Daphnia pulex: one gene and its partner. The protein of the gene in region 2 purifies or fractionates together with the protein of the main gene of each other region. This does not show direct contact. Links are inferred from orthologs where the notes say so. Each region holds a gene or a part of one and is shown on either strand. Other genes may lie near its edges.

Region 1 (4,547 bases), on a different chromosome or scaffold from region 2:
AAAAATCTAAGAATCCTAATAAATGACAATAATATTAACCGACCTTCAAAAAACCTTCCAATAACAAACAAAAAATTTCTTATTTCAATATATTTCTTCACAATCCATTAAATCGATTCAATCATACCATTCGAGCAAGATTACAAAAAAAATTTTGTCAATAAAAATTATTAATTGCCAACACCATCTTCCGCAAAAAAAATACAACAAGCATCAATCATTCAAACATTTATATCATTCCTATCTCTGCAATTCATTACATAAAACATTCCATATAAATGAAAAAAAATAGATTGACTCACCACAGCTTTCATTTAATGTTTATCACATTTCAACATTTCACTTCGATAAAAAAAACAATCTTCATTGCTTTCACTTCATTAAATTGTAACACATAATAATTCACACAACATTAGCTAAACTCATCACAATAATTCATATCACTAATCACTATTCATATCTGACAAAAAACTCACTTTAAAAAAATTCTTCTCACAAAACTGATGCACCAACTAACAGACAAATATTCAACAGCAGCCAATTTGAAACAACAACTTTCCAACTAAGAATCTGAATCAACACTGAATATCTGACTGTAAAACATCAAGAAAAAAAGAAAAACACAAGGTTATACTAAGAATAATGTGATATCAACAGTACTAAGAAAACATCAATCTAAATGAAGAACTAACCAAGGCCACGGACAAAATAACAACCACGAAACACTGGCCCTGCCAAATTTATTTCCTTTCCTCTGATTTTATTCGACACAAGAGGTGCAACAGTGAGGTATAGAATGACAAACAGAGAAAACAATACGAAAACTTAATTTTTAAATTTCCTAATCAAGAAAAAAAACGAAAGGAGACTTATAAAATCTCGAAGGTGCCACAAAGGGGCTTGATTAATGGTTAATGAAATGGACTCTGTCATTTTTTCGTTGCAGCAGAGAAAACATTGGGTAGTACGTTTATAAATAAAGTAAATACGTTAAGTTTATGATAATTGTGTTGCTTAAAGGACTTGTTCTTTTTTATTTAACATACTTAAGAAGCATCAACATACTTTTTAAAACTTTAAGTACGTTAAATCTATGATAAGTGTGTTGCTAAAAGTACTTGTTCTGTAAACATACTTAATTTCATTTTTATAAACATACTTATTTTTTTGTAAGCATGTTACACTTCGAAGAAGCATGAAATTTTGCTTTTCAGTTTGTTTATAATTCTTACCAAAAAGCGTAACGTGTTAAGTAATCTTAAAGTGCTGAAATAGGGCTAAAATAAGCATCCTACCGAGCTTCCGTGTAGCTTTTAACTGTCGGTCAACAGTATCAAAATAATGTTTTACCTGTCTGACAAGAAAAGACTTCAAATATACTAGGATAACTAGGAAATTATGTTGGATCGTGTCGGATTTATGCGGGTTTTTTTTTTTTGCAAGATTTTTGCGGGATTTTGAAGAAAATCGTGCAAGATAAAGTGCAGGATTTTTAAAAAAAAAAAAAACGGATTTTCGGGACTTTTTAGGCAACCCTGCACGACTTTGCTATTTCAGAAGTGGCAGCACTGGTGGAAACAGAGAAGAAGTTCAAGACTGTGGTCGTTGGCCATAGACTAAACTTCATAAAATGGCTGACGTGCCTGATATTGACTTGTATGCCGACGATCTTGGTGATGATTTTCATGGTGTAAGTTTACGTACTTATTTATAGTTACCGGAAGAATGCGATGTTAATATTCTGTAGTTCGTTTATCAATAACTTATTTATGTACATTTATGTTCATTTTCTGTTGTTATCCCACCGCAGTGTTTGGCGTGGCGTCTTTGCTGTTTACCGTTATTAGATGAGACAGCATCATTTAACTTATTTTCTTAACTGATTACAGGATGGTGACGAACAAATTGGCGATGGCGTTGACTTGTATGATGACGTCTTGACATCTTCAACGAGCATCAAGCAGGAACTAAATGGAAAGGAGAAGATCTCAACGCTATCTTCTCATATCACATCCAGCTCTCTACATGGTTCATCTTCATTGATCGGAACTCCACTTCAGCTTCATGGCAGCAACAGCTCATCACAATCCAAAAGGATCCAGTTGTACGTGGGCAATCTGACGTGGGTACGATTATTCAAACCTTTCCATTTATAAAACCAATTGTTCAAAGTGTCGTTTTATTTATCTAAAAAGTAATTGTGCTGTATATCGAATCATTCCCAGATAGTTCCCAATTGTTTATTTTTATTTTATCGACATTAATCAAATTGTTAAGTCTGTGATATCAACCTAGCCACCATGTTGTTATGATGGAGGGGCTATGATGTGTGATAAAACTGTATGATGGCATTCAAAATTGAAAGAAGGGCATCATGAATGTTGATGTATGTATGTGTATGTGAGAAGGCATACCAATTCAGGGACATGAACGACCATGCATGTTGTACGCTGTGTATCTGCACTTTTTAAATAATTTTTTTTATCATCTATTGATCTATCATAAGTAGTCCATCAAAACTTATCATTAGCCCCTATCAAAACCTTTGACTGAAGGTTTTTGAGTTGTGTTGTATTACGTTTCTCAGGATGCGGTCCTCCATAGAACTCCCCAGAAAAAAAATTCTTGTCAATCAGTTTTGCGTAACTGATGTGCCACATCCATCGCCCCATGTTTTTTTTTCTCCTTTGATCTCTGAAATCGTCATCTCTGCCAAACGATATTTGAGTCGAATGAATTGTTAGTTTGGGGTGGGATATCGCTTGATATGACAATCTCAGCCACGTATTATAACAACCGCTGGCGCCCATGTGCAGGAACATCTTTGATGATGACAAGAAAAAGAAACTGCACTCTGGCATACACTCACTACAAATTGCGCGGCTGTGTAAAGGTGCCCGATCAAAATATCTTTTATTTGACCAATACAATTATGGTATGGATGTAATCGGCAGAAAACGATTTTCATGCTTTGTTTTTCTATATTATCTTTCTTTCTTTTGTTTTTTAAACAAACAAACCCAATCCAAAACAACAACAAACGACAACGACACAACATCAATTTTGTGGTTGTTGGACAATACAGTGGACCACAGATGCCGACGTGGAGAATGCAATCAGCGCGATTGGCGTCCAAGACCTGGTGGAGGTGCGATTTCATGAAAACCGAGCCAACGGCCAGTCGAAAGGCTTCTGCGTCATCACCGTCGGTTCCGAGATCAGCGCTCGTCAATGCATGGACAAACTTCCCAAAAAGGATCTGCACGGACAGACGCCCATCGTCACCTTCACATCCAAACAGGCGCTCAATCAGGTAAGATCAAAACATTTCTTAATCGTTTAGTGCTGCTAGACGAATTTTTTCCAAGTGCATACCAGTAGAACCATTGACTGTCTAAATTGAATACAGTTCAAAGGTGGGAAAGTGTAATGCAACATTAAAACCAATCAAGTCTGTAAACCTACAAGTGTCGTACAATTTAACACTTAACGGACGACTTGACTGGAACATCTTTAAACATTTATGTTTTATGCATTTCTTTTAATGTCAAAATATTTTTCTTATTCAGTTTGAGGCGCAGTCAAAGAGCCGCCCATCTAGACAATCAAGTCCTCCGCGGAGTACCGGTTCTGCTCCATCCGGAGTTCCGTCGCTAACAGTCGGATTACTCGGACCTCCTCCAATGAATGGGCCTCCTCCTAGGATGATGATGGGTCCGTCAGCTTCTTCATCCGGACCCCCACCTTTAACGAGTCTCTCATTACCTCCGCCACCTTCAGTTCGTGGTCCACCGACACCCGGAGGCATTCCCGTTCCGCCACCGACGCATCACCTTCTTCCACATCCGGTCATGTCACCTACGGTCGTACCGCGAGGTCCACCACCCGGCATGGGGATGCGTGGGCCTCCGCCCGGAATGGATATGAATCCTCATCGTATTCCGCCTCCTGGCAACGGCCGGCCAGAATGGGCCAACATAGTCCAGCAGCCAGCTCCTCACGTCAATCCGGCATTCTTCCCTCCGCCCGTTGCGGCACCTCCGCCTGGATTCCCTCCACCGATCGGCCCACCACCACCATTCATCACTGATAATCGGCCACCGCACACCAATGAGCCGCCAAACGTCAGTGAAGCCGAATTCGAGGAAGTGATGGGCCGCAACCGAACAGTTTCTTCTTCCGCCATTGCTCGAGCTGTTGCGGATGCCTCAACTGGTATGTCTTCAAGCTTCATTTTGCTCATTGAACCAAAATCAGTAGTAACTTATCTGTCTTCTTCATCCAATCAGGTGATTACGCCAGTGCAATCGAGACGCTAGTAACGGCCATTTCGCTCATCAAACAGTCAAAAGTGGCGCATGATGAGCGCTGCAAGATCCTGGTGTCTTCCTTGCAAGATACGTTGCACGGCATTGAGGCCAAGAGCTACGGATCACGAAGAGGTACCCGCATCATCTAGTTTCTTCTTTTTTAAAAAACATTCTTAACGTGAAATTGTTTTGATTGTAGAACGATCCCGGTCGAGAGATCGCGAAAGGAGGAGAAGA
Region 2 (4,471 bases):
AGCTACATCAACCATGTCGAACTGATGATCAATATCGATTTCAAGAATTCTGCTTTGATTGCAGCAGTTAACATTAGATGATGTGCTATTTGGTAAGCGTTGGCATTCAATATACAGTTCATACTTTCCTTTCTTCAATGTCGCTTGGGATAGTTTATAAGTAATCAAATCAGCGTATCTAACGGGAAAAAAATTATTTTTCGGTTGAAAAAATTTAACTAAGATATAAAGCGATTCCTCGTAATTCTACAAACCTTTCAGAATAAGTAGAATCTATTGACAGATCCACTTTAAAAGTATGGGAACATTTGTTTTGCCCTTTAAAACATAATTTTATCATGTAATTGTCTATACCAACTAGAGCTTGGAAAGTAATAACAAGCTGATTTTCAATAGAGGTGTGAGTATAGAAAAATATTATTCTGTTACTCATATCCCTACCTAAAAAAAATATGGATTTAATAATGACACACAGGCCAATAATTGATAAGCAGCTTACCATACAAATTCCTAAATTTGTATTGCAATTTTTCTCCATTCATTAGAAACTTGATGGTTGTGTATGAATCACTTGTCATGAGAGAACTTGCAGAATCTCTGACATAACAATCATAGTTCCCCATGACATCATCACACCCTGGTTTAACAATGTTTCTGATTAAAGTAAAACACTTGGCATTCTGAGGTTTGATAAAATCTTCAAGCATAAACCACATGGTCTTAAATAGTGGATCAGAAATGGTGATGTTCAATGCAAATCTCGGGAAACTTCCATTCCTATCATAAGCATCAAATGCATTTAAATGAAGACCAATGTTTCTTCCATATGGAGTGGTTGAATCATTCCATTGTAGTAATCCAGTTGTACAATTACTGTCAGCAATAACAGTGAAGCAGCCATCAGCAGAAGTAACTGATCCACTAATGTATGACCCATATTTTGAGCAAATATCCGACCTACTAGTCTGACGGACTAAACTTGGACAGAGGGTGAAGACACTTTTTGGCAGTGTAACTGCAACGAGAAACAAAATGCAATAAAACTGCATACTGGCAAATACTCCCGAAATAAGGCGCAAAAATAAGGTTGTAATTGAACACACACTATCGTTTTCGAATCAGGAATGTCACTGAAAGAATTCCGCAATTTCCAAATTTTTTGTTTTGATTCATGATTCTTGTTGCCATAGCCCCCAAACCACACCCTCACCAGCAACCGAATGACGTCGACAAATTTTCTTTGTGATTAATGAGAACAATTTTACGTTACATAAACAAACTTGGTAAACAAATTTTGTGACATATTCCATCTATCGGTCATTTTATTTGTTTTTGCCACTAACCGTTAGGTGGCGTTGGTGATTCCTCGCGAGATTAAAAAGAAACTACGATTGATGCCGAGTTGCCGATCCGACCTACTAATGAATACCCGGTTGTCGACGCTTACGTTTTTCTCCAGGAATATGGTGAGTAAATTTAGTTTACAATTTCAAGTTCATGCAGCAAATCCACGTTTAATCTCTGATGGCTGATTAGTTCTGTATGGTTTGCTGTCGTGATATGTGTATAGTTTATAATGTAATCGAGATTGGTTTATGTTTTTTCACAGTGAGCAAACTGTACCGGGAAAATGTCTATTCATTACAAGTTTAAATCGGCGATCGACTATGACACGATTACATTCGATGGCCTTCACATCTCAGTTTCTGACTTGAAAAAGGCAATTGTCCACCAGAAAAAACTGGGCAAGGCTACAGACTTTGACCTCATGATAACAAATGCGCAGACAAATGAAGGTAAGATGTAGCACACAAAACTTTATAGAATAACTCATTTGACATGTTGTTATTGTAGTTTACACAGATGAATCTGCATTGATTGCCAAAAATACTTCGTTAATTGTGGCACGAGTCCCTGTAGCTGGTGCCACCAACAAAAAATTCTGGTAAGATTTTGTTGTTCATTTTAACAAAACATTTTGCATGGCACTGAATTGGAGTGAGTTTGCCCAAGCATAACTTTCGTTTTTTGAAATGTAATGATTTTAGGAGTTTGTCGTTATGTTATTTAAACATTGTTTTACTCATTACAGGGATAGAGGCGAACCATCATTGATCGGAACAACATCGTCGTCGAATTCGTCGTCATCAAAGGGTGTATGTACCTGAAGTCTTCCTCCCTTCTCAGTGGATTAGTAACTCTTTTTAAAAAAGAACCCCAATTAAACCAATTTAAATTAAAGTCACTCACATTCAAAGCTAGTTTTTGCAAAGAATCATAAAATTGTCATGAGTAGTTTTGAAAGTCTTGGTAATTCAAACTTCACATTTCTTACAAAAAAGGACTTGGGACTGCTGACGCCGGCTACTGTGATATTCTCATAACATTTCAAGAAGTTTTTGTGTTGAATTTAAAGATTGATGAAAAATTGTTTTCTTAGAACTTTTAAATGTTGCAGCTTTTTGTTAGTGATAGGGTTTTCATGGCTGTGATAAATTTAATTCATTCGTTGGTGATATAATTTTTGTTTCAAAACGGATGTTAAAGCTTGTGTCACGCACGGAGTATTACCTTAAACCATCAATGTGCCCTGTCCACCTTTCCGCTATTTTTCCATCATGGGATTCGAACCCCTGCGGTGTATGTGATTCATGCACACTTTCTTTTTTCTCTATTGATTCGTTTGAAAGTCGAAAATCGGAAGTTCAGTGCTAATTTTTGCTCGACAAGTAATTAATTCACTAGCTGGAACTAGTTTTCAAATACATGAATGGTCCACTTTGCCGGAAGCCAAATGTCTGATGGTTGAGCGATACATCAATATTTGGCACGACACTTGATCTTCCTCCTTCTGCCCTCCTATTGTCGCATTTCAATTTGTCAATAGACAGTTTCGTTGAGAACATTCCTAGAAATATGAGTTATAATCGAAAATTTTAGGCTCCCCCCGGGACCAGAAATGAAAATGAAGTCACAGTTGCCATGGCGAACATCAATGCGGATTCAGCCGGTTCCGCGCTTGATAATCTTGCCCAGGTATTGATACCTTTGTCCCGCCAGTTCATTCTGTATGTAACCTCACGTCTGTTCTTTTTTTTTTTCAAATTTTTTCAAAGGCTACTGACCTGTTTCGAAGTGAGGCTTCCGAAGAGGACAAAATCAAGGCCATGATGACACAAAGTACTCAGGACTACGATCCATCTAAGTAAATATTTCAACCATCATCTTGCGTCGAAGTTATTATTTATATGTATATTATTCTTCATCAGATATATGAAAATTCGTGGTCAAGGTCAAGTAGGACCCGTTCCTGGTAACTATTGTTGTTTCAAATGCGGTATGCCTGGTCATTGGATCAAACAATGCCCCTTGAACTTGGTAAGACTCATTTCTCGAAGTCAAATTGTAACAGCATATTAACGAAATTTATTTGTTCACGATTTTAGACAATGGACATTAAGAAGAGTACCGGAATTCCAAGAAGTTTCATGGTACCTGTTGAAGGTCCAGAGGTTCCTGGAGCGATGATGACTCCATCGGGGCATTTTGCTGTCCCTGCAATTGACCAGTAAGTTTCTTTAGCTAATTTGAAGTTCAATAAGTGTAACACACTAAAAATGCTTTTCTTATTAGTGAGGCATATCGAGAGATCAAGAAAGAACGACCGCCTTTTCAGGCTGAATCGCCGACACCCGAGGTGGTAAAACCTGTCATTCCATCTGAATTACTGTGTTCTCTGTGCAAAGATCTATTGTCTGACGCAGTACTTATTCCCTGCTGTGGAGATTCCTTCTGTGATGACTGTAAGTTTTATTATTTTTATCACATTTTTATTCGGTTTTAACGGTTTTCTATGATTCCTCGAAGGCATACGAGCCCTACTTCTCGATTCAGAGGAGCAGGAATGTCCTCAGTGCCACACGAAAGCTGTTTCGCCTGACACACTGATACCAAATCGGTTTTTACGTACGGCTGTCACCAATTTTCGAAGCGAAACGGGATATACGAAAGCCGCTCCCGTTGTCGCCCCTGCTGCTGTTGTGGAACTTGTTGTTGTTCCTGAAGTCAAAGAAGATATTGAGGACGAGAAAGAAGAACCCGAACTGATTTTAGAGGTAAAATTGAAAGTTTATTTGTGATTGCGTTGATGGCATGATGTTATCATTCTTTATTTCAAAAGGATGAAGAATTCAAGGAAGAAATTGCAACTTCTCCGGTGGCCGAAGAAGAGTTTAATGAAGAACCGAGTGAACCACCTCCACCGGGCGGAGAAAGCCTCGAAGAAGTTAGAGTCCCTACGCCTACGGTCGATGAAAAGCCTCCTGCAACTCCGACTGCTAGTGCTGAGGGTACCCAGGCTGATGTGGTTAAACAGTCACCTACCGCACCTTCGAAAAGTACCCCACCGACAGTCAACAATTTGTCTATTTTAGCTCAGAAAGCTCCATTGATTGCACTTCAACAAGCTTTA

The links.
Region 1: the proteins of E3 ubiquitin-protein ligase RBBP6-like (region 2) and cleavage and polyadenylation specificity factor subunit 6-like purify together in Homo sapiens (affinity purification with mass spectrometry; 3 studies listed by BioGRID and IntAct, with this or other methods). This does not show direct contact. The link is inferred for Daphnia pulex from reciprocal best matches to the Homo sapiens genes RBBP6 and CPSF6.

What each region holds. Positions count from the first base shown.
Region 1 is NC_060024.1:13,144,705-13,149,251, forward strand, and holds the start of cleavage and polyadenylation specificity factor subunit 6-like, read left to right. Parts: upstream 1-1,552; 5' UTR 1,553-1,630; coding exon 1,631-1,690; intron 1,691-1,889; coding exon 1,890-2,126; exon of another isoform or gene 2,127-2,767; coding exon of another isoform or gene 2,768-2,935; intron 2,936-3,085; coding exon 3,086-3,313; intron 3,314-3,569; coding exon 3,570-4,215; intron 4,216-4,289; coding exon 4,290-4,442; intron 4,443-4,509; coding exon 4,510-4,547. UniProt on the Homo sapiens protein: Component of the cleavage factor Im (CFIm) complex that functions as an activator of the pre-mRNA 3'-end cleavage and polyadenylation processing required for the maturation of pre-mRNA into functional mRNAs.
Region 2 is NC_060018.1:4,209,522-4,213,992, reverse strand, and holds the start of E3 ubiquitin-protein ligase RBBP6-like, read left to right. Parts: upstream 1-1,349; 5' UTR 1,350-1,466; exon of another isoform or gene 1,467-1,540; intron 1,541-1,609; 5' UTR 1,610-1,630; coding exon 1,631-1,796; intron 1,797-1,854; coding exon 1,855-1,945; intron 1,946-2,092; coding exon 2,093-2,156; intron 2,157-2,940; coding exon 2,941-3,036; intron 3,037-3,116; coding exon 3,117-3,205; intron 3,206-3,269; coding exon 3,270-3,378; intron 3,379-3,446; coding exon 3,447-3,568; intron 3,569-3,633; coding exon 3,634-3,803; intron 3,804-3,867; coding exon 3,868-4,115; intron 4,116-4,180; coding exon 4,181-4,471. Other genes in the region: uncharacterized protein LOC124188324, read right to left, coding at 1-178, 255-441, 500-1,049. UniProt on the Homo sapiens protein: E3 ubiquitin-protein ligase which promotes ubiquitination of YBX1, leading to its degradation by the proteasome.